Stegostoma tigrinum: one gene and its partners. The protein of the gene in region 2 interacts with the protein of the main gene of each other region in a pairwise test. Links are inferred from orthologs where the notes say so. Each region holds a gene or a part of one and is shown on either strand. Other genes may lie near its edges. The genes, in order: serine/threonine-protein kinase 3/4, rassf5 and mylipa.

The links.
Region 1: the proteins of rassf5 (region 2) and serine/threonine-protein kinase 3/4 interact in binary tests that used the Homo sapiens proteins (3 or more experiments, as listed by UniProt). The link is inferred for Stegostoma tigrinum from reciprocal best matches to the Homo sapiens genes RASSF5 and STK4.
Region 3: the proteins of rassf5 (region 2) and mylipa interact in binary tests that used the Homo sapiens proteins (3 or more experiments, as listed by UniProt). The two-hybrid records come from large-scale screens. The link is inferred for Stegostoma tigrinum from reciprocal best matches to the Homo sapiens genes RASSF5 and MYLIP.

Annotation. Positions count from the first base shown.
Region 1 is NC_081372.1:9,269,756-9,279,748, reverse strand, and holds the start of serine/threonine-protein kinase 3/4, read left to right. Parts: upstream 1-5,983; 5' UTR 5,984-6,031; coding exon 6,032-6,063; intron 6,064-9,993. UniProt on the Homo sapiens protein: Stress-activated, pro-apoptotic kinase which, following caspase-cleavage, enters the nucleus and induces chromatin condensation followed by internucleosomal DNA fragmentation.
Region 2 is NC_081374.1:17,293,715-17,303,800, reverse strand, and holds the start of rassf5 (ras association domain-containing protein 5), read right to left. Parts: upstream 4,211-10,086; 5' UTR 4,172-4,210; coding exon 3,679-4,171; intron 1-3,678. UniProt on the Homo sapiens protein: Potential tumor suppressor. Seems to be involved in lymphocyte adhesion by linking RAP1A activation upon T-cell receptor or chemokine stimulation to integrin activation.
Region 3 is NC_081355.1:37,864,561-37,875,493, reverse strand, and holds the start of mylipa (E3 ubiquitin-protein ligase MYLIP-A), read right to left. Parts: upstream 4,704-10,933; 5' UTR 4,264-4,703; coding exon 4,177-4,263; intron 3,626-4,176; coding exon 3,435-3,625; intron 1-3,434. UniProt on the Homo sapiens protein: E3 ubiquitin-protein ligase that mediates ubiquitination and subsequent proteasomal degradation of myosin regulatory light chain (MRLC), LDLR, VLDLR and LRP8. Activity depends on E2 enzymes of the UBE2D family.

The DNA of each region.
Region 1 (9,993 bases), on a different chromosome or scaffold from region 2:
AACTGTGTTCCTATCAAATTATCCCAGTAATCACATGCAAAGCTTTATCTGCACAAAGTTTTATTTTAAAACTGTTCAGTAATGAGACTGTTCAGGTTCTTTGTCCGCATGAGGGTCTGTGAGATTATCCTGCAGAAATTCACTCTCTAAAGGAAGTGAAGGAAACTTACAGGAACTAGTCAAAAGTCTTCACCCTGCTAACCACTGCAGTGGGAACTTCTCGTTTCAGGAGGGAGCTGTGTGACTAGTGAATAGTGGAATTGACTTCTTGTAAAACAAAAACTCGATTTTTAGGAACGGGCTTCCAGATGAAGGTTAGCATATGTCTTGCTTTCTTCAGGTAGAGTGACCATCTGTTTACTGAGAAGCCTGCAGGTATGACTCTGCTATCTTCAAAAGGTGATGCTCAAAGAATATGTATACAATGTTGCATATTTAAAAAGATGAAAGATATCTCAGGTCTGTGCCCTTACAATCAGCAAAAACAGGACATTGCCAAGCCTTTTGAAAATGTATTGAGGTATCAGTTTTGTATTCTTTGTTTCACCAACATATTACATTTTAGATTTCCTTTTTACCTCTCTTAAAAATGCCGCCATTTGAAGTTCCTGCTAGAATGCATTTCCACCAGGTTTGTGACAGTCCTTGTGTTAACTAGCCTCCTTTTCCTTGTCCAGTGCTCACAACCTTAGGCTCCTATCCATTGGCGAGGAATGGAAATTTGAGTGGGCTCAGACTCTCGCCCAGCTGTGCCACACTGTGTTTTCTTCCTTGTCCCAATTGTTTTGCAACTCAAACACAAATGCGTAAAGAAGTCGGGAGTGAAAAAAACTTTGTTGTGCCTAATGATTATGAGCTATCGCCCATAAGTGTCCTGTAGATTAATGTGATTCCTGGAGACTACAGGATAATCCCAGCGGATTTGCAACTTTAGATGTACCATCCGACCCAACTGTGTTTGTAGTCTTCAGTTGAATTTTCTGACACCAAAGTCTACAACCCATTCAATGAGCCCTTGACTTTAAATTTTAAAAAACTCTGAAAGGAAGTGTTTTTATCTAGTCTTGATGATCATCTTTTTCCTCAGTCTGCACGATTCTATTAATTTGCTGCTGAAGGCATGGGCAAATTTGAAAATATGTGGGTGTGTTCATATTCCTCTTTTTTTAAAACATGACTCCTTAAAAATTTTACTGCTTAAATCCTCTCAGTCATCGCAGGCCTATAGAAAATGGCCAGTTTGGTTCTCTGTATTGCAAAAAAGCGGCAAAAACTCTATCTCATGATAGGGTAAGTAGGTGAGAATGGGAGAGCAGTTATTTCTTGAGATTGATCTGGGAGGCTGGAACAAAAATGCCCTAAAGAGGAATACTATGTACCCACTCAATATCTCCCTGAGGCTAGTCTGCACTTAGTGACAATCTCTATATCACCTTTGCGTGGAAACCACTGGTATGGCCTTCTGAATTAGAGGAACAAGTACACACAAATCTGATAATTTTTTAAAGTTTGAAAATGGAGCAGTGACTCATTTGATGAGCTGGATGTGAAAATACACTACAGCTGTAGGTTTTGGCAAACATTGTGTTCTCCCAGTTGCATTAGGAGTTGTAAGTTGACAGGGCAAAGTGAGACCATATTTAATTTACCTGTCTGTTAATGTCCTTAAACAGGAGCTATATGAACATTACAATGTAATAACCTGCTACTTGATAAACATTTTAAAATGAATCCAGGAAATTTAAACAAAAGAAAAATCACCTGGACTCAAAACAGCTTTTGTTTGCGATTCGTTGGAGCCTAACCAGTCTGGTTGGAACTGGGTCATGCCCTGGGAATAGAATTAGTAAATCAGGCAAGAATCTCTGCATCTCTAGTTTTTACCTTTAGAATTTTTACTTTTTGTGTGCCACGTCTGTGGGACTCAACAATACGCACAATTCAAACTTATGTCATGTATTTCTTTAAAACTATTTAGGTGGTGTATGACATGCTGCTTTTATGAAATATCTGAACTTTATTTCCCAATTTCACTGTTTTCTGTGTGAGATTTGTCATTAAAGTCTTGTCTTTCAAATGGATCCCTCAAAACAAAGTTAAATTCAATGTGGAGAGCAACTGATGCCATTTAGTAAATTTGATGTATATTTCCTTCTATGCAAGTGATTCTTATACTGCTTAGAATAAAACACTTTTGTCATGACCAACTAGGCATTCATTGTTTGTTTTTTTTATTTTGTGATGTTCAAGTCCCTTGCTTTCATGTGTGATTACATTTCTAGGCTGTAGTGGTGATGGAATTGGGAATGCGGAGTGCGCAAATCCCACAGTGGCAAATTAGAATTGAAACTTGTTAGTGTGCTTGAATCCTGGACGCCTAGCACTCAAACTGGAATTCCGTTAACAAACATTTAGAGCTGGACCCTCAAATACCAATCTCTACAAAGCAAATCCAGAAGTGATGCCATCCACTCCAGCAAACTGAGATACAGAAACATTAAGTGGGATAGAAAAAACTTACCAGCTCAGTGAGCAGGAATACCTCTCTCTCTTCCCCCTCTCTTTCTGTGTCTGGCTGACAGCCTATGCAATGTGAATGTGGCATTTTAAAAACTCCTACTTTAGAAATTAAACCAGTTTGACTCCAAACTAAAACACTGATTCTAATCAAGGTTTCACACCTGACACGCTTTAAAATGTCACTGCCTCTTTACGCTGATAAAACCTTTGGTCCTTTCAGCATAATCCAATTATCACCTTTCAAGTCATTATCTTGTTCCTTTTTTTGAAGTCTCTCCTCTGACGCTTCATTGGAGGTGCTCACAGAGGACATTTTTTGTTTCCCAGTGAATTTCATTCTTAAATGTTACATTTGTAAGTTAAGACTGGCTGTAGTTTTTGCCTGAAAAAACGACTTGTCTAAAAGTTCAATATATCCATAAGTAATTCAGCTTTCTGATCCATTGTCATGAAACCACACATACACCTACTTGTCAATGTCCTATTTAAATCTTAAACTGACCCCTTGACAGATCTAAGTTTTATACCATTTGCAAATTTTGAAATTGTGCCTGTACATCAAATTCTGGGTGATTAATATATATCAGGAAGAGACAAACTATTTCTTCTGATGAGTTGGAGCCTAGAATAAGAGAAGATGATTTGGTTCAAAATGTCATTGTCCATTGTGAATATAAGCTTTTCCCTGCTTTAGCTCATTTCTCTGGAATTGAGTAGATTAATATTTTCTATATGTATGTGTGATGCATCATCTACCTTAAGTTCATGAATGGCCAAAAATATTCTCTCTGACCTATTCACACAAGTCAATTTATGATTGCATAATGCTTTGTAAATTATTTTATACTTTTCTGGAAGATAAATCATTATATTACATAGTCTTTTAAGCACCTTAGCATTATCCAATCAGACTGATAAGATAGCAAATTCCTAATCTTTTGGATTATAACTGCATTGATGGATATTATACTTTTGGTAACAGGACGAGGGGGATCTAGACATATACCAAAGGCCAATGTACCACAAAGCAATGCAACTGAGGTCTCCCTATCCGAAAGCTTGAATGAAACAAATTCAGTGGTTGCTTTTGGAAAATAATTGGATAAAAAGTTGAGAGAGGGAGTAACTAGGACAATGAGGGCGAGAGCAGGAAGTGATGCAATTCAAAAATACAGTATAAATAAGATGATCTGAGTGGCTACTTTCTGAGACTTTTTTCTGACTTTTGCAAAGTGAGAATCGACTAAAATTCCAGATTTTGGACAGGTCAGAACAGTTCTCCACTTAGAGAAGAATTTGATAAAGATGTTCAGTCATGAGGGTTTGGAGTAGACAGGGATAAATTGTTGACGCTTGCATAGATAATTGACCAAAGAAGTAGTAGTGACAAGAAGAAAAAAATTCCACACTGTGGATGGAATGCGCTGTTTCACATTTTTTGGTGACAGGTGTCAGTTCAGTGGAAACACTTAGGAGGGATCATTGACTGAAAAGGAAAAATGTACAGGGCTGCAGGAATTTGTAAAGAGATGGTACTCTTTGGGGAATTGATCCTTAATGGGGAAGACTATATGAGTCAAATGAACGTAAAATACTGCAGATGCTGGAACTCTGAAATAAAAACAAAGTGATGGAGAAACTCAGCAGCATCTGTGGAGTAAGAAATAGAATTAACGTTCTGAGTGCAGTAATGGCCAAATGCTGTTGGTCCCATTCTATTGATAACAAGGTGTGGAGCCGGATGAACACAGCAGGCCAAGCAGCATCTCAGGAGCAGGAAAGCTTTCCTGCTCTTGAGATGCTGCTTGGCCTGTTGTGTTCATCTGGCTCCACACCTTGTTATCTCGGATTCTCCAGCATCTGCAGTTCGTATCATCTCCAGTCCATTCTATAATTCGTTGTTGAGGTGCAGTGCTGGAAGAGGGATGTGGTCAATGCACCGACACGGACTGAGGCCAGAGCAATGCACGATGGTAGACAAATAGAGGAAAAGGCCATTCGGTCCAACCACTTGATGCTGGTGTATCTGCTGCATCCGTATGGGAATGAAAACAATGGAGGAGAACTGAAACAAAGAAACCTACAGCACAGGAACAGGCCCTTTGGCCCTCCAAGCCTGTGCCGATCAAGATCCTCTGTCTAGCCTGTCATCTATTTTCTAACGGTCTGTGTCCATTTGCTCCCTGCCCATCCATGTACCTGTCCAAATATATCTTAAAAGACGCTAACGTGTCTGCGACTACCACCTCCGCTGGCAAAGTGTTCCAGGCGCCCATCACCCTCTGTGTAAAGAACTTTCCACGCATATCTCCCCGAAACTTTCCTCCCCTCAATTTGAACTCATGACCCCTAGTAATGCAGTCCCCCACTCTGGGAAAAAGCTTCTTGCTATCCACCCTGTCCATACTCCTCATGATTTTGTAGACCTCAATCAGGTCCCCCTCAATCTCCGTCCTTCTAATGAAAATAATCCTAATCTATTCAACCTCTCTTCATAGCTAGCACCCTCCATACCAGGCAACATCCTGGTGCACCTCCTCTGCACCCTCTCCAAAGCATCCACATCCTTTTGGTAATGTGGCGACCAGAACTGTACACAGTATTCCAAATGTGGTCGAACCAAAGTCCTATACAACTGCAACGTGACCTGCCAACTGTTGTACTTAATACCCCGTCCAATGAAGGAAAGCATGCCATATGCCTTCTTGACCACCCTGTTGACCTGCGTTGTCACCTTCAGGAAACAATGGACCTGAACACCCAGATCTCTCTGTTCATCAATTATCCCCAGGACTTTTCCATTTACTGTATAGTTCGCCCTTGAATTTGATCTTCCAAAATGCATCACCTCGCATTTGCCCGGATTGAACTCCCATCTGCCATTTATCTGCCCAACTCTCCAGTCTATCTATATTCTGCTGTAATCTCTGACAGTCCCCTTCACGATCTGCTACTCCACCAATCTTAGTGTCATCAGCAAACCTGCTGATCAGACCACCTACACCTTCCTCCAAATCATTTACATATATCACAAACAACAGTGGTGCCAGCACAGATCCCTGTGGAACACCACTGGTCACAGGCCTCCAATTTGAGAAACTCCCTTCTACTACTACCCTCTGTCTCCTGTTGCCCAGCCAGTTTTTTATCCATCTAACTAGCACACCCTGGACCCCATGTGACTTCACTTTCTCCATCAGCCTGCCATGAAGCTGAAAGGGTGGGTGCAATCAATAGAAAGAGAAAGTTAAGGGAAAGAAAAGAACAAAATCTGGTTGCGAACTTTACTGCCATGCACTTCCATCCCGTTGCAATTGCAGAGCCAACTATATTTCCGCCCCACACGATGGAAGGAACCACTTCCGCCCCGCTAGTGGCGTCTGTCGCAACGTCCGCCCCCACTGGACGTGGATCGACGTAGCTTCCGCCCCGCAAATGCGTCACTTGGAGAGTTTCCGGGAAGGGGATTTCCGGCTCGAGGCGGAAGTGAACAGTATAGGAGCGGTGAGACATGGAGGAGGTCCAGCGGAGGCATCCGCGGCGGTAAGAACCCAAAGAGGGAGAGCGGGAGGAGGATGTTCGGGATGCTGGGGAATGGGTACGGGAAAAATGGCGAGAGGAGCGAGGGCTGTGGTTGTCAGGGCAGAAATAACCCCCTTGAGGGCCGTCAATTTCGTTCCCCCGACTTAAGGACAACTACCCTGCTCCCCTCCGACTTCTTTCCCCACCCCCCCATTCCCCCCCCTTCTTTTCCTCCCCCTCCTCTTCCCCCCCCATCTCTTCTCCCCCCCCCACCCCCACTCCCCCCCCCACCCCCACTCCCCCCCCCCCACCCCCACTCCCCTCCCCCACCCCCACTCCCCCCCCCCACCCCCACTCCCCCCCCCACCCCCACCCCCACTCCCCCCCCCCACCCCCACCCCCACTCCCCCCCCCACCCCCACTCCCCCCCCCACTCCCCCCCCCACCCCCACTTCCCCCCCACTCCCCCCCCCACCCCCACTTCCCCCCCCACCCCCACTTCCCCCCCCACCCCCACTTCCCCCCCCACCCCCACTTCCCCCCCCACCCCCACTTCCCCCCCCCCACCCCACCCCCACTTCCCCCCCCCCCACCCCACCCCCACTTCCCACCCCCACTTCCCACCCCCACTTCCCACCCCCACTTCCCCCCCCCACCCCCCCACCCCACCCCCACTTCCCCCCCACTTCCCCCCCCACCCCACCCCCACTTCCCCCCCCACCCCACCCCCACTTCCCCCCCCACCCCACCCCCACTTCCCCCTCTTCCCCCCCACCCCCTCTTCCCCCCCCACCCCCTCTTCCCCCCCACCCCCTCTTCCCCCCCCACCCCCTCTTCCCCCCCCAACCCCCTCTTCCCCCACCCCCTCTTCCCCCCCCACCCCCTCTCTCCCCCCCACCCCCTCTTCCCCCCCCCACCCCCCCACTCCCCCCCACCCCCCCACTCCCCCACTCCCCCCCCCACCCCCCCCACTCCCACCCCCACCCCCCCACTCCCACCCCCACCCCCCCACTCCCACCCCCACCCCCCCACTCCCACCCCCACTCCCCCCACTCCCACCCCCACTCCCCCCCACTCCCACCCCCACTCCCCCCACTCCCCCCCCCACTCCCCCCCTCCCCCCCCACCCCCACTCCCCCCCCCACTCCCCCCCCCACTCCCCCCCCCACTCCCCCCCCCACTCCCCCCCCCCCCCACTCCCCCCCCCACTCCCCCCCCCACTCCCCCCCCCCCCACTCTCCCCCCCCACTCCTCCCCCCCCACTCTCCCCCCCCACTCTCCCCCCCCCCACTCCCCCCCCCCCCACTCCCCCCCCCACTCTCCCCCCCCACTCCCCCCCCACCCCCACTCTCCCCCCCCCACTCCCCCCCCCACTCCCCCCCCCCACTCCCCCCCCCACTCCCCCCCCCACCCCCACTCCCCACTCCCCCCCCCCACTTCCCCCCCCACCCCCACTCCCCCCCCCACCCCCACTTCCCCCCCCCCACCCCCCACTCCCCCCCCCACCCCCACTCCCCCCCCCCACCCCCACTTCCCCCCCCACTTCCCCCCCCACTTCCCCCCCCCACTTCCCCCCCCACCCCCACCCCCCACTTCCCCCCCCACCCCCACCCCCACTACCCCCCAACTCCCACCCCACCCCCCCCACTTCCCCCCCCCACCCCCCACCACTTCCCCCCCACCCCCACTTCCCCCCCACCCCCACTCCCCCCCCCACCCCCACTCCACCCCCACTCCCCCCCCCACCCCCACTCCACCCCACTCCCCCCCCCACCCCCACTCCCCCCCCCACCCCCACCCCCACCCCCCACCCCCCACTCCCCCCCCCCACCCCCACTTCCCCCCCCACTTCCCCCCCCACTTCCCCCCCCACCACTTCCCCCCCACTTCCCCCCCCCACTTCCCCCCCACTTCCCCCCCACTTCCCCCCCCACTTCCCCCCCCCCACTTCCCCCCCCCACTTCCCCCCCACTTCCCCCCCCCACTTCCCCCCCCCACTTCCCCCCCCCACTTCCCCCCCCCACTTCCCCCCCCACTTCCCCCCCCACTTCCCCCCCCCCACTTCCCCCCCCACTTCCCCCCCCACTTCTCCCCCCACCCCCACTCCCCCCCCACCCCCACTCCCCCCCCACCCCCACTCCCCCCCCACCCCCACTTCCCCCCTCACTCCCACTTCCCCCCCCACTTCCCCCCCCACCCCCCACCCCCCCAACCCCCACTTCCCCCCCAACCCCCACTTCCCCCCCAACCCCCACTTCCCCCCCCACCCCCACTTCCCCCCCACTTCCCCCCCCCACCCCCACTCCCCCCCCACTCCCCCCCCCACTTCCCCCCCCCACTTCCCCCCCCACTTCCCCCCCCACTTCCCCCCCCACTTCCCCCCCCCACTTCCCCCCCCACTTCCCCCCCCACTTCTCCCCCCCACTTCTCCCCCCCACTTCTCCCCCCCACTTTCCCCCCCCCACCCCCACTTCCCCCCCCCCCCACTTTTCCCCCCCCCACCCCCACTTCCCCCCCCCACCCCCACTTCCCCCCCCACCCCCACTTCCCCCCCCACCCCCACTTCCCCCCCCACCCCCACCTCCCCCCCCACCCCCACTTCCCCCCCCCCACCCCCACTTCCCCCCCCCACCCCTACTCCCCCCCCACCCCTACTCCCCCCCCCCCACCCCCACTTCCCCCCCCACCCCCACTTCCCCCCCCACCCCCACTCCCCCCCCACTCCCCCCCCCCACTCCCCCCCCCACTCCCCCCCCCCACTTCCCCCCCCACTCCCCCCCCCCACTCCCCCCCCCCCACTCCCCCCCCCACTTCCCCCCCCCACTTCCCCCCCCCCACTCCCCCCCCACTCCCCCCCCCACTCCCCCCCCCACTCCCCCCCCCACTCCCCCCCCACTCCCCCCCCCCACTCCCCCCCCACTCCCCCCCCCCACTTCCCCCCCCACTTCCCCCCCCACTTCCCCCCCCCACTTCCCCCCCCCACTTCCCCCCCCCACTCCCCCCCCACTTCCCCCCCCACTCCCCCCCACTCCCCTCCCCCCCCACTTCCCCCCCCACTTCCCCCCCCACTTCCCCCCCCACTTCCCCCCCCACTTCCCCCCCCACTTCCCCCCCCACTTCCCCCCCCACTTCCCCCACTCCCCCCCCCACTTCCCCCCACTCCCCCCCCCACTTCCCCCCACTCCCCCCCCCACTTCCCCCCACTTCCCCCCCCCACTTCCACCCACTCCCCCCCCCACTTCCACCCACTCCCCCCCCACTTCCACCCACTCCCCCCCCCACTTCCACCCACTCCCCCCCCCACTTCCACCCACTCCCCCCCCCACTTCCCCCCACTTCCCCCCACTTCCCCCCACTCCCCCCCCACTTCCCCCCACTCCCCCCCCCACTTTCCCCCACTCCCCCCCCCCACTTTCCCCCACTCCCCCCCACTTCCCCCCCCTCCCCCACCCACTTCCCCCCCCTCCCCCCCCCTTTCCCCCCCCCTTCCCCCCCCCTTTCCCCCCCCCTTTCCCCCCCCCTTCCCCCCCCTTTCCCCCCCTTCCCCCCCCCTTTCCTCCCCTTTCCTCCCCTTTCCCCCCCCTTTCCCCCCCCTTTCCCCCCCTTTCCTCCCCTTCCCCCCCCTCCATTCTCCCCCTCCCATTCTCCCCCTCCCATTCTCCCCCTCCCATTCTCCCCCTCCCATTCTCCCCCTCCCATTCTCCCCCCCCCATTCTCCCCCCTTCCCCCCCCTCCCCTTCCCCCCCTCCCCTTCCCCCCCCTCCCCTTCCCCCCCTCCCCTTCCCCCCCTCCCCTTCCCCCCCCCTCCATTCTCCCCCCCCATTCTCCCCTCCCCCCCTTCTTTCTTCTTGCCCCCTTCTCTCTGAAAATGGGTAATGATTGTTCCTCGACACGACAGATGGGGACTGAATGGGCTGAGTGGCCTCCTAGGCTAAAATATGATTCTAGTAG
Region 2 (10,086 bases):
ATGGGTTGCTTGTCTCTGTGTGTATCTCTGTCTCAGTATGAGAGTGTTTGTGTCTGTGTCTGTGTGGGCACGTGTGTCTCAATGTCAGACATCAGTGCAACATTAGGGTTGACACACCCAAAGTGCAAGCCCAGGGCTCAGGGGAAATACAAGGAGATGGAAACCTAATAAAGAGAGTTGGGTGCAAACAAAGGGAAGCCCAGACTATGTGGACAGGAGGTGCAAGAAAGAAAAGACCACCAAAACTTTTGGGGACGGTACAGTGGTCATTTAGATTACTAGGTTGAGCCTTTAACTCACTGTGAAGTGCACCCTATGTTGCTTTCCACTTGCATCCAAATTTGCCATGCACAATGGGAACGAAAAATGACTGAAATCCTAGACAACTTTTTCGGGCTTTACTTTTGAGTGATGTGGGGCCCTTCCAGGGGCAACTGGATTAATCAAACACTCACTCATTAAGAAATCTTGACAATGACTCTGCTCAATATAAATTGAACATAATCACCTCTGTAAAGCAGTAGTATCAAAGGCGATCTTAGAGTCACATGTGGGCCACAATGGACATTAAGATAATCTAAGGCCTCACAGATCAAACTATGCTGCAAAGCTGATTCCTCTTGCCTTGAGCTGCAAGTATTCACCAACATTTGAATAGGCACTGCAGCCTTCACTTTTGGTGATAAGTGCTGATAGTGGTGGTGGCCTGTAATCTAGCTGCACGTAATCTGTTACTGTATTAGTGCAGCATTACCTGTGCTGCATTCATCAGAGTAAAGGCCAACTTTGTCAAAAGTTCCACGTACTGAGTAATTCCACAAGCCTCACTATCAGAGTCCTACAAAGTCCACTGCATTGAGAGATGCAAATGCTGACTGTTCAAACTACAAAGGACCAGTTCTGTATCTAAAATTCCCCAGAAAAACACAGTCCAATGACAGCAGGTGTCATCCTCACAGTGGCAGTTGTACACTGATGATGCAGAGAAATGAGAAGAAATAAATATAATAGCAAGCCCACAACTAGCAGCAACCTTTGGAGGATGTCAAACAGTCTCCACACAAAAAAGGTGTTGCAGCAGTAAGTCCATCAGGATGCAGAGAAGTTATCAGAGATGCAAAGTCTATCATTCTCAATGCTGTTTCCTCCTGATAAGTGAGGTGCATTGATGCCAAAGACCAAGATGCCCCATCACACAACTGTGCTCTCTATTGGAGCAGGACTTTCCAACCGAAGAGACAGGTAGCCATCAGATTCCAGCAGACATCAAGGTGGCAGCTGTGCTAAATCTTGACAGACTAGTTCCAGGAAATCATTGGTGACCTGTGTGAAGTTTCTATTCCACATTCTCTGGAATTTTCAAAATAAATGATTAAATCTGAAAATCAATTTAGATTTTTTTAAAAAAACAAAGACTTGTTTTATAATTTCTCCCAGTGTCTGGTTTTACATCTTTTAATTAGAGAGAGAGATAGGAGTTTACTTTCCTCCCCAGTTGTGAGTAACCAGGTAAGCCACTTAGACTGTTAGATACATACTAAAACTATCAGGGTCCCAAAATTAATCTGAAATTGGTCAGCATTCTCAACTATCATCATTTATTACCACATATCATTAATTATTTTTTAAGAGATTGATATTCTCAGGAGGCATGTGCTTTAATTTGAAATTACCTTCTTAATAGTTACCCTGCTTCTCAGGATTAAACTGGACAGTAATTAAATGGTATTAAAATGACCTGAAATCAATCAAGTTCAAATGGAACAGATCTTGTTGTGAAATGGGCCACACCATTGCATGTACTGCATCATTCAGAAAAATTTAATATATTAGCCATACACAACAAAAAATAAAACTTCTAAAAACAGAAATGCTTACTGTTTTGGATATAATGTAAAATTGTCTAGCTACACAACCCAATCTATAGACCAAAAAGTATATTTCCCTGACTTGTATAATCAGCAAGAGAAAGGTGAGATTGTTAACTTGCTCACTGAGCTGGCTTGTCTTCATTCAGATGATTTATCACCATGCTAGGTAACATCATCAGTCAAGTCTCTGATGAAGCAATGTTGTTCTACTCCACTTGGAATTTATGCTGTCTGGTCGATTATGGTGAATAATGTCATTTTGGGTTTTGTTCTGTATGGGTTTGTATGTGGGGTCCAATTCTATAGGTTTGCTGATTACATTACACATTTGAGAATCATGCCTCTAGGAATTCCTATGTATGCCTGTTTGGTTTGAACTACTATGGTTATGTTGTCCCAGTTGAACTGATGATCTTTGTTGTCAGAGTGTAATGATATTAAGGGAAGTTTGTCATGTTGTTTTGCTGCTTGCTGATATTCATGTATGTTATAGAATTGGACTCCACATACAAACCCATACAAAACAACACCGGAAATGACTACTCGCCACAATGGGCCCAACAGGATAAATTCCAAGCAGAGTAGAAACAACATTGCTTCATCGGAGGCCTAACTGATGATGTTACCTGGCTTGGTGGCAAAATGAACGAAAATAAGCCAGCTCGGCAAGCAAGTCAACAATCTCACCCACAACCCGAACTACAACTCTTTGCTAAAACCTTAAACAAGAGAAAGTTTCTGAAGTTCTTGGAGTGAAACTATAATTTTATTCCTTACGTACTTATTTGTCCTTTAGCACAAAATCCAGTAGTATTTTGCCACACTAAATTCTTTTGATTAAACTACCGTTTCTTAAGTTTCCAACACCCTCTGCATTTCCTAGGGTCAATAGAAGAGACAGACAAACGCTCACAGGATTTTACATGGCCAGGAGGTTTCAGAAACTTGCTCTACACAGCAAGCTAGTTGTCAAGATCTGTGACAACCCCCTTAGCAATGCAAGAGCAAATGATGTTTACATAACAATTGCAACAGTAAATGTCAACAGAAATGCACAACCAAAAATTGTGACAATAGTGATATTTCTGGACAGGAATTGGAATACTCCAAAGTTTTTAATGTGGAGGCTGGGATCCCAAATGGGATGGCACGCTCAAAGGCTGCTCATCTCCTCTACCCTCTCACTTCTGCAGGTTTCCTGCCTTTCACCCCCTGCTGTCGTTGGTCTTCCCACATCCAAACTGCACTGGTGGGGTCTCCATGGGAAGAAGCTGACCATAACTGGTTTGGAATTCAAAGTCCACTGGAAAAAAAAAATCACACTATTATGCTTTTGATGGATTGGGTTTCCACAGTTTGATTTACCTTTTCAAAACCAGATGGGTTCTGTCAGCTGAACAAAGAGATCACGAATGTATTGTTACCACGCGCATATTTCACTAAAACACAGTTCCCTCCTACTCCAGATTTCTACCTGACAGGGTGAGGCGAAGCTGTTTCTGTATGGATGACTTGTGCTGAAGAAAATGAAGTCAAAATCGGAAAATCGAGGTAACTCTGATCGCACATGACTGAAATCAACAAACTGCTTCACAACCACACAAGCAGAGGCGTGGGAACAGTGTCAGTATCAATACATGCATGTTTACGGTTAGATTGCATAGATGCATAATAACAAATTTGAAGATGTCACGTGTCAGATAGTTAGTAAAGTCAATGTTTAGCAAAAATACAAACTTCAAATACGATTGTCGATTTTAGTCCAATCAGTATATTAGCCATGGAATTACAATTGCAAGGAACTCACTTTTACACCTGACAGCTTCATTGCACAGGGGGATCTCCTTGCCACAATAGTCGCACCAAGTGTACACGGAACATCGACCGAAGCAATGTCCCTCTCCCTTCTCCTCCGGGACTCTGGGATCCTCCGCTTGGAGGAAGATGGTCCGGACATCTCGGGGTCGATGCGCAGCCTGCTTCACCCTGACTCGTCGTCCCTGCGCCATCCCTCCTCCTCCGGCTCCTGCACCACCGCCAGCTCCTCCACCTGCTTTGGCCATCTTGACCAGACCGGGACTGGTCGAGTGTGCCGGCATCTCGCCGCAGTTGCCCCCGAGCAGAACGCAGCGCAGGATGAGCTCCCCGGACCGCATGTCACCGGAGAGACGTCTCGGTAGCCCCGGCCTTTGGTGGCCGGGGGTGAAATCCTCTAGCAGCTGGGCGAAGGGATACGCGGCGAAGTATGCCCTTCCCAACGGCGGTGCTGCCGCCGACTGCGAGGCTGACGCTATGGGCATGATGATAATGAATCGGCGCAACCAAACGCTCTCGCGCAGAGCTCCTGCAGCTGACAGTTGGAGGCGTTGAACGCGCACTGCTACCTTTTAAAGAGCGGCGCGTGCTTTCCCTACGTCCCTCCCCCGCGCCCTGCCTCCTCGCCACTCCGCAGTGGACAAGCCGCGAGGCCACAGTCACGGGGGAAGTTAGCTCCGTTCGGGTAAAGCACGTCGTCACTCGGGGTTTGTGTTTGAAATTCCTCCCCCACACCACTCCTCGCCCCCCCCCACCGAAAGGTCGGGTTTTTTTTCTCTCTTTGTTTTCTTGTACTTAACCCCAGATTTCAGGGAAATCTGCCTGTCAACCTTGACTCAGAATCGCACAACTCTAACGATGCGGGTGGAGGCTATTCGGGTCATCGACCGGAAAGCCATTACACTTAGAAGCAGGAGAAGGCCATTCAGCCCACCCACCTGCTTTGCCAGTCCATGAGACCATTGATGATCCTAAATTCCACTTTACTGCCTTTTCCCCATAAACCCTTATTCACCTACTGATTTAAAGTCTGATATTTAAAGTCTGATATTCTGAGCCTTCAATTTACTTAATGACACAGCCTCAACAGCCTTCTAAAATAAAAATTCTCCCTCTGTCTTAAATGAGCCAGATTCTGAGATTATGCCTCTGGTCCTAGACTCTCCAAGAAGGGGAAACAACGTCTCTGCATTTGCCAAGTCTGCTAATGATTTTACATGTTTCAGTAAGATAGCATTTCATTCTTCTTTTCTCCAGTGAATACAGGCTCACCCAGAACTGTTGGTCAAATGAGCATCAGGACTGAGCCCCATTCTACACCTTACCGCTGCCCCTTTTCTTTTAACACTGCTCATAACCACTCCAAACATTCAAAACAACACAATTCTTAAAGTGAGATTCAATTGGACAGCGGATAACAAAGTGTGGAGCTGGATGAACACAGCAGGCTAAGCAGCATCTTAGGGGCTCCTAAGATGCTGCTTGGCCTGCTGTATTCATCCAGCTCCACGCCTTGTTATCTTGGAATCTCCAGCATCTGCAGTTCCCATTATCTCCTTCAATTGGACAGCACCTTGGTTTCAGGAGGTTAACTCCCACTGAAGGACTTGAGCACAGAAATCTAAACATGGCAGTCCAATGCGATTCTAAGGAATGCTGCATTGTCATTTGGATGTAATATTAGGACCCACATGGCCTCATAGATGGACATCAAAGATCCCATGATGCTGTTTTGAAGAACAGCGCAGTTATCCCCAATTACCTGGCTAATATTTATCACTCTATGCCATAGAGATTATTTAGTTGCTATCACAATGTTGTTGATAGGAATTCTCAATGCAAAAATTGCTGCAATTTTTCCTGTAATTTTACAATAAGAATGCTTCAAAAGGACATCATTACTTGTGCTTTAAGATATATGGCTGGTGATCATGAAAAACACTGTCTATTAGAACGTCATTACTTTCTATCTGGTGTGGTGTTTCACTTCTCTCTAGTTACCTACTTTAAAACTTAATGAACATCTGAGTGGGGATTATTTGTCGACATGAGAAGCTATTTGGTATTATTCATTTTAAAATGTCCTCACTTTTTAACTTTAGTTTACTGTTTTAAAATTTCTTTTCTGCTCATTTTTTTCTTTCTGCCATTAACAGCCTAATTCACTGTGTTGCCTCAGAATAGCGAGACATAGCTATGTGTGCAATTACACACATTTTACATCAGAAAACGCTGCAATGGTGAGTTTCACAGCATGGAACATTATTAAGTGGAATTCCACCCTCACGATTATTATTTCAATATTGTGTATCTCGCATTTCAAGAACATTGATTTGATGAGGACGCCATATGTCAATATCATTTGTAAACATCATCTCCTTAATGAAAGAGAATTTGGAGTATTTCATGCCATTCTGGTCTCCAGTCTGTAGGAAGGATGTTGTGAAACTAGAAAAGGTTCAGAAAAGATATACAGCGGTGTTGCCAGGGCTGGACAGTTTGAGCTATAGGGAGGGGCTGAATAGACTGGGGCCATTTTCCCCAATGCTTTGGAGGCTGAGGGATGACCTTGTAGAGGTTAATAAAATGATAAGGGGCATGGATAGGGTAAATAAGCAAGGTATTTTCCCTTGGGTGGGTAAGTCTAAAACTAGAGGTCACATGCCTAGTGCTGGGGGAAAGATATGAAAGGGACATAAGGGGCAACGTTTTCATGCAGAGGTTGGAATGAGCTGCCAGAGGAAGTGGTGGAGGCTGGTACAATTAAACATTTAAAAAGGCATCTGGATGGGTATATGAATAGGAAGGGTTTCAAGGGATATGGGCCAAATGTTGGGAAATGGGATTAGATTTATATAGGATATCTGGTCAGCGTGGATGGACTAGACTGAAGGGTCTGCGTCTGTGCTGTATATCTGTTTGACTTTATCACTTTATAATGGAGGAATACTCATTGAGAAGGTGAGAAGAAAATTGGCTGAATTGATAGTCAAACAAAATGTAGAGATATAGAAAGAAGAATAAAAGGAGTGAAAAGGAGTAGATTTAGCAAAATTGAAATGAAAATCAAATTGCAGAAGAATAGTTCATTTTAATTCAGTTATATTTGGGAATTGCTCCAATTGTCCTTGATTGTTTTGCTGAGTGAAGAATTGTGGGTTACAAATGATAACACCCTGCTTCAAAAAAGGGGAGAAGGATAAATCATATAGGCAATCACAGACCAGATATTTTAAAGTCAATAGTAGGGAAGCTTTCAGAATCTATAATCCAAGAGAAAATTGACAGCTACTTTTTAGATTAGATTTTCTACAGTGTGGAAACAGGCCCCTTTGGCCCAACAAGTCCACACAGCCCCTTGCAGCAACCCACCCAGACTCATCCCCCTATAACCCACACACCCCTGAACACTATGGGCAACTTAGCATGGCCAATCCACCTAGCCTGCACATCTTTGGACTGGCTAAGGAAGGAAACCCACGCAGACACAGGGAGAATGTGCAAGCTCCACACAGACAGTCGCCTGAGGTTGGAATTGAACCCAGGTCCCTGGTGTTGTGAGGCTGCAGTGCTAACCACTGAGCCACCATGCCACACTGGAAAAACATCGATGAATAACAGAGAACTGGCAGGATTATTGATGGCAAAATATGTTCAATGATCAAGCTTGTATTTTTTGATGAGAGCACGGAACGGCTGAATGAAGACTGTGGAATTGTTTTTGTGTATATGAACTTTCAAACGTTGTTGAAAATGTAGTACATAAAAAGCTTCTTTGCAAAATTGAGGTTTATGGGATATCGTGGTCAGTAGCAGCATGAATGGCAAGTTTTTCTGACTGATGAAGATACATAGTGAAATTCCCAAGGCTAAGTACTAGAACCACTTCTCTTTTTGATCTATATTAATTTGTGGGAATTCAGGGCACTGATTTGATATTCACAGATGACATGGAACTTGCAGTATAGAAGATAGTAATAGGCTTAAGCAGTCTTTGATAGACTGGTGGAATGTTTAATCACAAGGCAAATGAACTAAAACAAAGTTCTGAGGAAGGGTCACTGGACACGAAACATTAATTCTGATTTTTCCTTCACAGATGCTGCCAGACCTGCTGGGCTTTTCCAGCAACTTTGTTGTTGTTCCTAATTTACAGCATCCGCAGTTTTCGGTTTTTACAAGGCAAATAAAACTCAATACAAATGAGATATAGTGCATTTGGGTAAGAAAAATTAGAAATATATTTCATGTTAAATGATAAAATATGAGGGAGTAGAGGAAGAGTTCTGGGCGTGCTCAAGCACAATTCATTACAGGTGGCAGTGCAGATGAACAAAGCAACTATTTAGGCATAAGGGATCTCTGCTTTATAAATAGAAGCATAGGTCCTAATTTTGCCCCCACATCATATGCACAGAGCTGGGAGAAATCCCACCTCTGTGAACCTGATCTTTCAAAATAGTGAGCCACGTTTCCTATTTTCAGACTGGGGTAGATATAGGTTGTGGGCTAGATTGAGAGTTGAGCCAGCAACTCTGGAAGAGCTGTGAAGGCTGCTAGTTCCCAAAGTGGGCCAGGTAGAAAGCCTGCCCTGTGTTTTCAGTGGTTGTCAGAAATTAAGTAAAATAATAAAATATAAAACATTGTTCTATCCTTCACCCCTTCCACTTCCCTCACTCCACTTCACCCGCATACTCCTGTACTTGACGATTCTCACCTAATTCCCCCTACCCACCTACTATGGTTCCTTGTACCTTCTTTGCCATGGTATACTCCTCCACCCATTCACCATGGTTCCTAATACCCTGTTGCTATGCTATACCCTTCTATCCATCCCCAATGGACTCTCAAAAAACCTTAAGCAATTTAATATCTACTTCCAACCATCATCCTTTCCACCTTTACCCTCCATATCAACAGAGCTAGTATCCATAATAACTAATGCACACAGGAGAAGAGAAAATTCCACTACTTGAAGTTTCGTTTGATAATTATACTTTATTTAAAAAAGCACTTTAACTCATAAAAATGCATTTTGACAGGTCTCGCCAGCTCATGACAGGTGAACACTTCTTCCCGTATGCCAGTTGGATAGTTGTTCACATTTCTCAACATTTCTTGACAATCCTGACATACCAACCTTCTTGACAGAACTTGCCAGGCTGATACTTTTTGACAGGTCTTGACAATTGTAAAGGGTTTTTTGCGTCTTTTATACACTATCTTCTCCACACATAATGATCCGCGGAGGCAGTTGATTATGTAAATGCACAGGTACCTCCATAAAACATGCACGTGCAAACTACAAATAGCCCTCAATCCCATCCCTGCAAATGGATGCAAGGTTTGGGAGTGGGACTTATGACTGCTGATATCTTCTGCCTTTTTCACCAGAATATTCCAAAGTATGTTTTTCTGATGTTCTGTCATGTGTGGTCAAATTACTAGTCGTATAGTTATCTCAGATGTCTTACAGGCACAGCTGACTCAGGAAGAACGATATTGAGACATTTCTCCAATCACTCTTCCAGAAGAACACTTAGATTTTACCCCGAATTTGACAAGAGAGTTTTCTTCCCTGAAATGGGAGCGATCAGCTTGCCAGCCCTTCCATGCAGACTTCTTATCTCCCTAACTGAAGACCAGATAAAAACCAAAAACTCTCCAAGCCATATTCTATTCAAAACAATCCCAACAATGGTGTACAGAAATATCAAGCAGTTATCACCAGTCATGCAATTTGTAGAAAGCCTTGTTAATAAAATCTCTTGTGGTACAGTGGTGTTGTCCCTACCTCTGGACCATAAGGCCCAGGTTAAAGTCTTACTTGTTCCAGAGGTGGGTAATAATATCTCTGAACAAATTGATTAGGAAAGTACCTTAATCTCCCATGTCCACATTGACTGTTGATGAGCTATTTTAAAGAAACCACTCCAAATAGTTTTCAAAAAAAATTAAAACGAGTTTCTCTATGACATATTAATATTGAAGTGTATTTGTAGCACTATATATATGTATTAAGTTGACGTATGTATAGCAGGTAAAATTTCCATTGTGAGTAGGCCACTGGCGCATTATGTGAAGAAGGGCTCCCAAGAAAAGATGCAACATAGAAATTAAACATTTTCCACATGAAGTAAGAAAAAATGATTTGGTCATTTTTGCCTCACTTCCTCAGATGTAGTTTTATCGAGGTGTTGTGCAAGCTTTGAACTATCCACATAGAGAAAACTGGTTTTGCAGGATTTAATGATGTTGGGGATGGGGTAGCTGAAGTATATTTATGATTGCGATGAAAATACTGAAATCCTCAAATTTCAAGTGTTGAAATAATCAACAGCTCACATTGGTACTGACATCCAAGATCTTCAGAATGTTTGATTTTGACATCATGATATTG
Region 3 (10,933 bases), on a different chromosome or scaffold from region 2:
ACTGTCAAATTCTAGAGGGCAAAACACTGCCACGGAAGGCAGTGTGGGAAGGGCAAGATATAAAAGCAAAATTACCAGAGACATGAGTCCATGTGAACTTGGGGACAAGGTAACAAAGGGAAACAATTGTCCAGACAGTCTAAAGAAAACAAAAGGCAAATGCAAGAGCAGACAAATCATTTAGGCTAGCCCCCGGAATAAGTATGACAATAGCATTAAAACTTGGTGCCCAAAGTAATTATCACAAATGCCACAAGAATCCAAAAGTAACAAATTTTAAAAATTGGAAGATCAACAGTACATGTTGAAAGTTGGTTATTATCTCATTTAGCTAAAAGACATTAATAATTCCAGAACACCATATTTGCAAGAGGTTACTCTCGGTCAAATGTTGACAATGTAAACAAAAGGTTACTAAAGGACAAGCATGCATCAACTGGCAACAGAAAAGGAAACAGTTTCGATATCACAAAAACCATGACAGTCAACAGTACAATTCAATATCCAAAACATTAAGTTACACGACCAACAGAAAATACAAAAAAATTCCAGAATCCAGTGAATAACCCAAAAAATTAATTCTTAGCAATGCCCTGCCTTCTCAAATGTCATTTCAACATCAGTACCTCAAACAAAATTCTAAAATCAAACCACCTGCTACAAAAGCCATGTAAAAAGGCCAGTAGTAAAGAATGATACCTCATCTTCAAAGCAAAATTGCACTTTTTTTTCCCCCCAGCATGGATTCTGAAACAGGACCACAGTTATTGTCAATTCTTCAACAGCTGCCACACAATTGGAAGCCAGAGCAAATGCACAGTGAACCCCGAGAGTGCTATGCCAGAAAAACTTTATCTACAAATTGCTCACTCACATTTTGTGCAAGATGACAGTTTACATACAGATAAAAGATAAAGTTCCAGGATTCCTTCAGGGTCAGAATTAAAACCAAGTTTCAAAACATTCAGGGCAGTGAATTCAGTTTGCTTTCAGCAAAAACCTTTTACATGGCTTTTGTAGCAGGTGGTCTGATTTAGAATTTTGTTTGAGGTACTGATATTGAAGTGACATTTGAGAAAGCAGGGCATTACTAAGAATTAATTTTTTTATTCAATATAGAAATTATTAGCCTGCTGGACTCTGGGTTATTCACTGTATTCTGGAATTTTTGTATTTTCTTGTTAGTCATGTAACTTAATGTTTGATATTGAATTGTACTGTTGACTGTTATGGTTTTTGTGATATCGAAACTGTGTTTCCTTTTCAGCAACTGATTTGTAAGTTTTTTTTTTCTTTTCACTGGATTGGATACACCCCATGGGTCAGGGGTTTTTTTTGGCAGACTAATTTAAACTTGACATCAAAAACCAGTCGATTTCAGGAACGCATTTGCACTCACACCTCTGTCCAATGTTTCTTCATTTATCTGATGAAATTCTAGAATAAGTCAGGCACCTGATCAATTTCAAGTTCTTATCGGAAGGTGACAAAATCTAGATGGTCCAGTTGCATGATCCCTACTTCAACATTAGCACATTATGAATAGTTACTGATCAAGGGAGCACATAGACCAAGTGGTGCTCAAACATCCAAAAAAAATTTTTAAAAAAAAGGACAAAATTAATCAGTACAAAGTTTTCACTTAAAATACAGTCAAGACAAGAACAATGGAACAGCTGTAAAATATACTATCAGTCGGACACCTTAGCTGGCAGCCAAGACTCAATGGATAGGACTCTTGTCTTAGACTCAGAACAGGCTGGACTCAAAATAGTCAAGTATGTGGATGTTAAAAACTTCCACCATTATTACAAATCTCTTTAATGCCCTGGCTAATATTTAGCTCACAGCAAACACAGATCCGCCATACAACTGTTTGTAGGATGACTAAAAAAAGTCCTGAAAGACATGACATAAATGCAAGCCTCTTTGTTGTGTTGGGAGCTGAAGAAAATAGTCAGTGTGGCGATGAGACAGTATGTTAAACTGAACTGCCATCAAGAACTGAATGCAAGATATGATTCGTTGAAAAAAAGTTTTGATCTCTGCTTGATTTGGACACAGTACAAGTGAGGTGAGCTACTCCCACCATATCTAGTAATTTTGCTGACAACTAGCTAATTCAACAGCAAAAAAGTTACAGACTAGATAACATACTTGCTGTTTGTTGATTTCAGGGAGAAACTGTTTTGGTTTGGCCGGGGACAAAAAGAAAATTGCCTGCAGGCTATATTCAATCATCCTGCAATTTTAGTTCTGAAACCAGCAGAAAAAAGAACAAATATCTTGAAGCAGAAGCTACCAATCTTGACATCAAAACCTACTTATTTTCTTGCTGTACTATGGCCCAGTGGCAACACCATGGGTGGCTTTACACCAGGGAGTAAACAGTCAGCAAAGGTAACAAACAGTCAACTCACTCAAAATGAAACAAAAGTAATTTTTTTGTTTCACATTTTGTTAGTTAGACTTAAAGTTTCTGAATATATTCAAATTCATTGGTGGAAGAGCCAAGATCTGACATTTAAACTATTCGGGTTGGGATCAAATAAAATCACCACAAGACATTAAAAACACAGCCAAGCAATAAAACCATGGACATAACACCCGAAGTTTATGCAAAGCTGGTGGCGGTTTTGCTTCTCTCAATACTCAATTGAGAACTTATTACAAGAGACAGCATTTAATAGAGCTTGCACTGGGGAATAGTGGGGCAGAGCTGGACCACAGTCGTACCAAAACCAGCAATGACAGAATTGTCCTCCCACATGCCCAAAGCTAAACAAGAAAAAAAAAGTACACTTTTCTGCATTAGGTTAAAAACAATGCCCTGTCAATTCAGTCAAACCAAAGCCTTTGTAGATCAATGGTAATTCATACAAGCTTTAAGAAATAAACCATTCTGTCTGGTTTCAATTCTTGCACTAAACACTACACAACACCACTTTTGGAAAATTATTTCAAGCTTTCACTCGTTTACCACTATTCTTCAACTAAAAAAAACTCCATTCCCCAAGAATCTCTTTCAAAGAATTTTTCGTGAACTAAGGTGGATGTCCGAATCTGACATTTACCTCAAATTAGTTAAAACAGAATCAAAATTGCCGATACCACACCGACACGCATATCAGTTCAGCTAAACCCGAGATTTAGAATAAATTCAACGTAATGAGCTCGGAGCGCTAGGACCCAGTAGTGCCTGATTACAGTTAGAACGCTAGTTTCTGCAACTATGACCCATAATAACACTGCAATGGCGAGGTTACTATCGGTCATCTGAAAGTACAAGAACAGGCTAGCAAGGAATCATTAAGTTTGTTCAAGTCGATACAACGAGATTTTAAAAAAAACACATGCGAAACGCAAAGTAAGAAGATTAAGTATCAATATTTCATTTAAGCCAACAAAAAGCTCCAATTTATTAAGAAACACACCTAGTTTGCTCCTGAAGTAAGAGATGAGGTTCCACAAAAAATTTAACTCGGAGTTTGAATCTATAAGGAGGCATCCCTTCGATCTGTTGAGAGATTCTGTTCCTCAGGTTCAACCACAGTGTCTCCCCCTTGTTCGCAGAGTACTGCAGACCCAAATAGTCATCCTCTATAATGCCGAGCCTGTGGCAGACCTGGGCAAGAGAAAGGAGAGACCCCCTTACACTATTTGAAAAAAAAAGGGATGATTGAATTACCGTCCCATCTTCCAAAATACACAGACTAATCCTCCCTACCTCTAAAATTAAAAAGAAAAATGTAAACTCCCAAATCAGAACGATAAATTCCCTCCGCCGCAACGAGTGAGTGGGAACCCGAGGCAAAACAAAGCAGAGGGTACTACAATCTGCTCTTAAGAAAGTTAACTGGTTGTAAACATGGGGAGGAAGGGCAGATTTAAAAACAATATCTACTTTAGAAAAGAACGTAACAATTCAAATGGGCAGTTCGACTTTGAGAAAAAATCCAAAGGACGTTACATCGGGACCAAGCTCTAATAATCAACGTGGGTCTTTTGATCAGCGATAAATTGTGGGGTATTCGCGGGAGAGGACGGACAGGAATGTGGAGTCAAGGCCAAAAACGAAACCTTCCCGAATGGCGGAGATGGAAACCGAATGGTCTACTCCTGCTCCTGATGATCGTGTGGCACAGAGTAAATCCGGGGAAGCGATCCGGGCCTTACCTGGTTCAGACAGTCCTCGCCGTTCGCCTTCGGATCCACCTCCACTTCCATCACCACCGAGTCGGGCCTGGTCACATAGCACAGCATGGCGATAGCAGGACTCCCAGGGATCCGGATCACTGTCCTTTTCGATACTGCGGATAGCACCCCCACTCCCTCCCCTCAAACTGGCATCGAGACTCAGACGGGCTTGACCAGCCTGGGCCGCCGGTACCAAGCACTGTGCCCCCTTCACATACAGCTGTCCAGCTCCAGGCCTTGACCCGGTGGAAACCCCCGGCTTTCGATTCCGGGACCTAGGAGCAGATAGTACCCTCATATACAGCCCGCCGTCCAGGTTCTAGACGCTCGGTTCTAGTTTCTTCCCACAAATACCCGGCTTGACGTCAGCTAGACAGCAGAAAACCAATTGGAGAAAAGCATTACTGCTCTCTGACCAATAGGAAAACACGTAGATTGAAGGGAAAAACCGAAAAAAGCTGGATCGAGTCTCTTCAAATGAGATCACCGGCTCTCAGTGAGAATTTTATCGCTGAGATCATCAGTGTTCTCAGTGAGATCTGCCACGGTGGGATTACAGGCTCTTTCCGTGGAATCTCTAATCAAATAAATCAGTCAGGATGGTGAGAGACAATAAAGTGTGGAGCTGGATGAACACAGCAGGCCAAGCAGCGTCTTAGGAACACAAAATCTGACGTTTCGGGCCTAGACCCTTCATCAGAAAAGTCAGGATAGCGAGTGGCTTGGAAGGAAACTGGTGTTACACAATGCTGCCACTGAGCATCAGTAGTGGACGGAGAATACATCATAGTCATACAGCATGGAAGGAGACCCTTCAGTCCAAACTAAACATTATCCCAAACCACCCCACCAACCTCCGCATACAACGCATCATCCTCCAACACTTCTGCCATGTACAATGCAACCCCACCACTAAAGACATTTTCCTATCCCCACCCTTGCCTGCCTTCTAGAGAGACCACTCTCTCCGCGACTCCCTTGTCCACTCCACACTCCTCTCCAACCCCACCACACCTGGCACTTTCCCCTGCAACCGCAAGAAGTGTTACACTTGCCCCCACACCTCCTCACTCAGCCCTATCCCAGGCACCAAGATGACTTTCCACATCAAGCAGATGTTCACCTGCACATCCGCCAATGTGGTACACTGCATCCGCTGTACTCGTTGTGGCTACCTCTATATTGGGGAAACCAAGTGGAGGCTTGGGGACCGCTTTGCAGAACATCTACGCTTGGTTCGCAATAAACAACTGCACCTCCCAATGGCGAACCATTTTAACTCTCCCATTCCTTAGATGACATGTCCATCCGGGGCCTCCTGCAGTGCCATAATGATGCCACCCGAAGGTTGCAGTAACAGCAACTCATATTCCGCTTGGGAACCCTGTAGCCCAATGGTAGCAATGTGGATTTCACAAGCTTCAAAATCTCCCCTCCCCCCACTGCATACCAAAACCAGCCCAACTCGTCCCCGCCTCTCTAACCTGTTCTTCTTCTCACCTATCCCCTCCTCCAACTTCAAGCCACACCTCCATCTCCTACCTACTAACCTCATCCCGCCCCCTTGACCTGTCCATCCTCCCAGGACTGACCTATCCCCTCCCTACTTCCCCACCTATACTCTCCTCTCCACCGATCTTCTCCTCTATCCATCCTCGGTCCGCCTCCCCCCCCCTCCCTATTTATTTAAGAATCCTCTCCCCATCCCCCTTTTCTGATGAAGGGACTAGGCCCGAAACATCAGCTTTTGTGCTCCTAAGATGCTGCTTGCCTGGCCTGCTGTGTTCATCCAGCTCCACACTTTATTATCCCAAACTAAACCACTCCCACATGCCTGCGCTTGGCACATAACCCTTTCAACATTTCTTATTTGTGTACTTCTCAAAAGGTCTTTAAAACATTGCAGCTATACTTGCATCCACCATTTCCTCTGGAAATTTATTCCAAAAAAAAGACCCTTATATCTCTTTCAAATCTTTCTCCTGTCACCTCAAAAATATGCCCACTCTACTTGAAATCCTTCACCCCATGGAAAAGACACTCGTCATTCACCCTACCTAAACATCTCATGATTTTATAAATCTCCATAAGGTCACTCCTCAACCTCATACACTCCACTGTGTCCCAGGCTGTCCAGCCTCTCCAATATAACTCAAACACTCCATTCCCAGCAACATACTTATAAATCTTTCTGAATCCTGTCCAGTTTAATAATATCCTTCCTATAATAGGACAACCAGAACTAGACATTGTATTCCAAGAAGAGGCTTCACCAACGTAGCACAACTCATATACTCAATGATCTGAGCAATGAAGACAAGCATGCTAAACACTTTCTTAATCACCCTGACTAGATGTAATGCAAACTTCAAACAACCTGAACGTCGAGGTCTCTCTGTTCTACAACACTACTAAAGGACCTACTTTTTATTGTACACGTCCTGCCCTTGTTTGTTTTACCAAATTGTAATACCTCACATTTATCCAAATTAAACTCCATCTGTCACTCATCAGCCCATTGACCCAATTGATCAAGGTCTCTTTGTAATCTTAGATAACCTTCTTCACAGTCTGTTATACCACCAATTCTGGTATCATTCGCAAAATGACTAACCTTGCCTTCAAATTTTCACTTAAATCACTTATATAAATGACAAACAGAAGGGGATCCAGACCGATCCCGGTAGAGCACCACTGGTCACAGGACTACAGTCCAAAAAACAACCCTCCACCATCATAAGATAATAAAGTGTGAAGCTGGATGAACACAGCAGGCCAAGCAGCTTGACCCAATTTTGTTCGGCCATTCAGTAAGTTCACCCTGAATCCCATATGATGTAAGTTTACTAAATACTCTACCATGCAGGATCTTGTCAAAGGTTTTACTTAAATCCAATATCTGAAATATAAACAATGTCTGCTACTCTGCCCTCATCAATCTCTTTGACTACTTCCTCAAAAACCTCAGTTTGGACGGTGTCAAGATTCTCAAGCTTTGTTGGAGCTGCAGTCATCCAGGTAGGTGAGAGTATTCCATCATATGCTTGACTTGTGCCTTGTAGGTGGTGGACAGGTTTCAGGGAGTCAGTGGTAAGTTACTCACTGCTTCTCATAGCATAAGAGACTCTCAACAGTGCAGAAAGAGGCCATTTGGCCCATTGAGTTTACACTGCCCTCCAAAGAGCATCTCACCTAGCCTTAACCCCTGGCCTTATCCCTGTAACCCTGCATTTAACATGCCTTATCGACCTAGCCTATACCTCCCTGGACACTATAGGCCAATTTAGCATGGCCAGTCCACCTAACCTGCATATCTTCCAACCTGTTCTTGTAGCCACAATATTTATGTGGCTGGTCCAGTTCAGTTTCTGATCAATGGTAACGCCCAGATTGTTGGTAGTGGGGGATTCAGTGATAATAACGTCATTTAATGTCAAGGGATGACAGTTAGATTTTCTCTAGTTGGAGTCGATCAGTGCCTGATCATTTGTATGGCACAAATGTTACTTGTCACTTGTCACCCAAGCCTGCATATTGTCCACGTCTTACTGCATTCAGGCACGGACTGCTTCAGTATCTAAGGAGTCATGAATGGTGCATAACATTATCCAAACATGAACAAGTATCCCCTCTTTCTCCAGTTAATGTAGTTAGTGTTCCCCTTCCTGGAACCATTCTTGTGAATCTTTTCTGTTCCATTCATAATGCCTTCTCAGCCTTCCTAAAATGTGCTACCCAGAACCGGACCCAACACTCCAGTTGAAACTAAAATAATGTTTTATACAGTTTCAACATAATTAACTTGTTTTACATTCTATGGCCCTATTGACAAAATTTGTAATGCCATAAGCCTCAATAACAATGTCCTCAACTTGCTCCGCTACCTTCTCTGATTTATGCACATTTACACCTGGTTCCCTCTGCCTCTCTGAGTAAAACACAAAAAACAGCCTTTGCTCTATTTGGACCATGTTGCCTGTCTCTAAGAGCAACATAAGGGAAGATGGCTGTGGTTATACAAAATAGGAGCAGAAATAGGCTATCTTTTCCCTCAGAGATAGTAAGAATTGCCGATGCTAGAGTCAGATATAACACAGCGTGGAGCTGGAGGAACACAGCAGGCCAGGCAGTATCAGAGGAGCAGGAAAGCTGACGTTTTGGGGTCCCAACCTGAAACGTCAGCTTTTCTGCTCCTCTGATGCTGCCTGGCCTGCTGTGTTCCTCTAGCTCCACACTGTGTTGTACCTTTTCTCTCAATCTGTTCTGCCACTCAGTAAGATTATGGCTGATCTGATTACTTTACATTCCCACCTACCTCCCAATAACCTTTTGCTCTTTTGTTACAGTAATGACTTATCTTTACTCAAAGTCAGAACTGTGGATGTTCGCTGATGATTACACAATACTCAGCACCATTTACATCTTCTCAGATAGTTAAGGAGTTGTTAAAGTGTTAAATAAAGGTGCACATTTACAACAACATCTGAACAACATCCACATATTGATTGTAATGAGGTCAGCCAGTTGAATTTCATAGAATCTTTGTTTGGACCACATTATCAGCCCCAATCAGGGAACCTTGGCTGATAGGTAAGAACAGGAGTGTCAGACATCATGTACGCTCTGAGAGTTGAATCAGTGTTAAGGATTCTCCACGTGCAACTAAAGGGTGATTTGGTGGCAGGATACTGGCCTTTATGGAGTTATAGATATTTCTCCTATAACACAATAGTTACGTTCTTGTGCAACTTTGTGCTATAGAAAATCGCCGTAGAAAATAGTTATTTGGAAATTGCTATACTGTACAGAAGAAAGTTCACATTATCTAAACAGCGTCCAGTATTCATCAATTGCACTACACCCAATTTGCGTTAATGAAACACAGAAATACCTGTATTTCATTCCAGGGTTGGGCTAAAAAGTAGCATGTAACATTTACCAGTTGATGATATTCTTCAATGAGAGATTCTGGACATTTTCCCTTTATGTTCAATTCCATTACCATCACTGAATTCCCCCACTATCAACATCCAAAGGAGTTCTGTTGACCAGAAACTGAACTGGAACAGCTATAATAAGTACTGTAGCTACACGAGCAAGTCAGAAGCTAGGAAATCTATGGTAAGTGTGTCATCTCTTGACTGCTTGAAGCCTGTTCATCATCTCCAAAGCACAAATCAGGCTTGTGATGCACTGCTCTTCAATTGCCCAGGTCATGGCAGTTCCAATAACACTAAAGAAACTCAAACCCATCCAGGCCAAAACAGCTTGCTTTATTGGCACTCTATTTAGCAGATTCAACATCCACCCCACACCTTTAATGCTCAGTGGCACATCCAAGTCTAGATCATTACGAGAAATGAGAAGCACCAATCCTGACAATAACCCCTGAAGAATCCCATGACAACCTTCCTCAATCCAAATGATTCACTATTATTCTCCATTTCTTATAACTCAGCCAACTTTGTATCCATGTTAATACTTGAAACATTAACTGTCTCCACACCTTCTGCAAGAATTTCTTTAGCATTCTGTGTTTCTTTCAGATTTCCAGTATCTGCAGTATTTTACTTTTATTAGCATGTCCTCTTGTTGGATATTCAACATACTTCTGTATAAAACCATCTCTAACACACTCCTGAAATTTGTCCTCCACAGCTTTAGTATTCAGCTGGTTTACCAAGCTGCATACAGATTGAAGTTACCAATGATAACTGTGTTGCCTATGCTACCCGCTTCTCTGCTGTTGACTGAGTTTAAACAAGCTCATCAGGAAAGTGGGATGTTTGATGTTTAGGAAAGTCATACAGCACAGAAACAGACTCTTTGTTACAACTCATCCACACTGATCAGATATCCTAAACTGATCTTATCCCATTTGCCAGCATTTCACCAATATCCCTCTAAATCCTTCTTATTTACATACTCATCCAGATCCTTTTTAAACATTGTAATTGCTACACCACTAATTCCTCGGTTAATACGATGCCCCCATCTAATCATTGTGGTTTGGTGGCCTATAAATAATTCCCATCAAGATCTGCTGCTCTCTCTTTTTCCCTTGCTCTGCCCCAAATAGTTTCCACACACTTGTTCTTCCAATCTGAGATTCTCCGGTACTAACATACTGATTCCCCTGGTTGACAATCAGGTGGCCCAAATTTCCTGTACATTGCTGATTAATCTTGACGTTCTGTTTTGATTTGGAAGTGTTGTGATTTAATGATTGCAATTATTATTTATGACAAATGTATGGGAAAAGACGTTCCTACCACTAGCTGCCACGAGTGCCCAGTATTGTTGCTGAAAATTCCTTTAACATAACCCACAATAGGGAAGCTGAGATTCTCAGGGTAGGGGTATCCAAAACTGGAGGGCACAGGTTTAAGGTGAGAGGGGAACGATTTAAAAGGGACCTGAGCAGCACCTCTTTTTACACAGAGGGTAGTGCGTGCATGGAACAAGCTGCCAGAGGAGCTAATGGAGGCAGATACAATTACAATGTTTAAAAGATGTCTGGATGGGTGCATAAATAGGAAGGATTTAGAGGGATATGGGCCAAAAGCTGGCAAATGGGACAGATTAGTTTAAGATATCTGGTCATTGCATATGAGTTGGACCAAAGGGACTGCCGTATGACTTTCCTAACTGTCAAACACCCCATTTTCCTGATGAGCTTGGTTAAACTCAGCCCAACAGCACAAGCAAATCTCCCTGAATATGTAATCACTAGTTC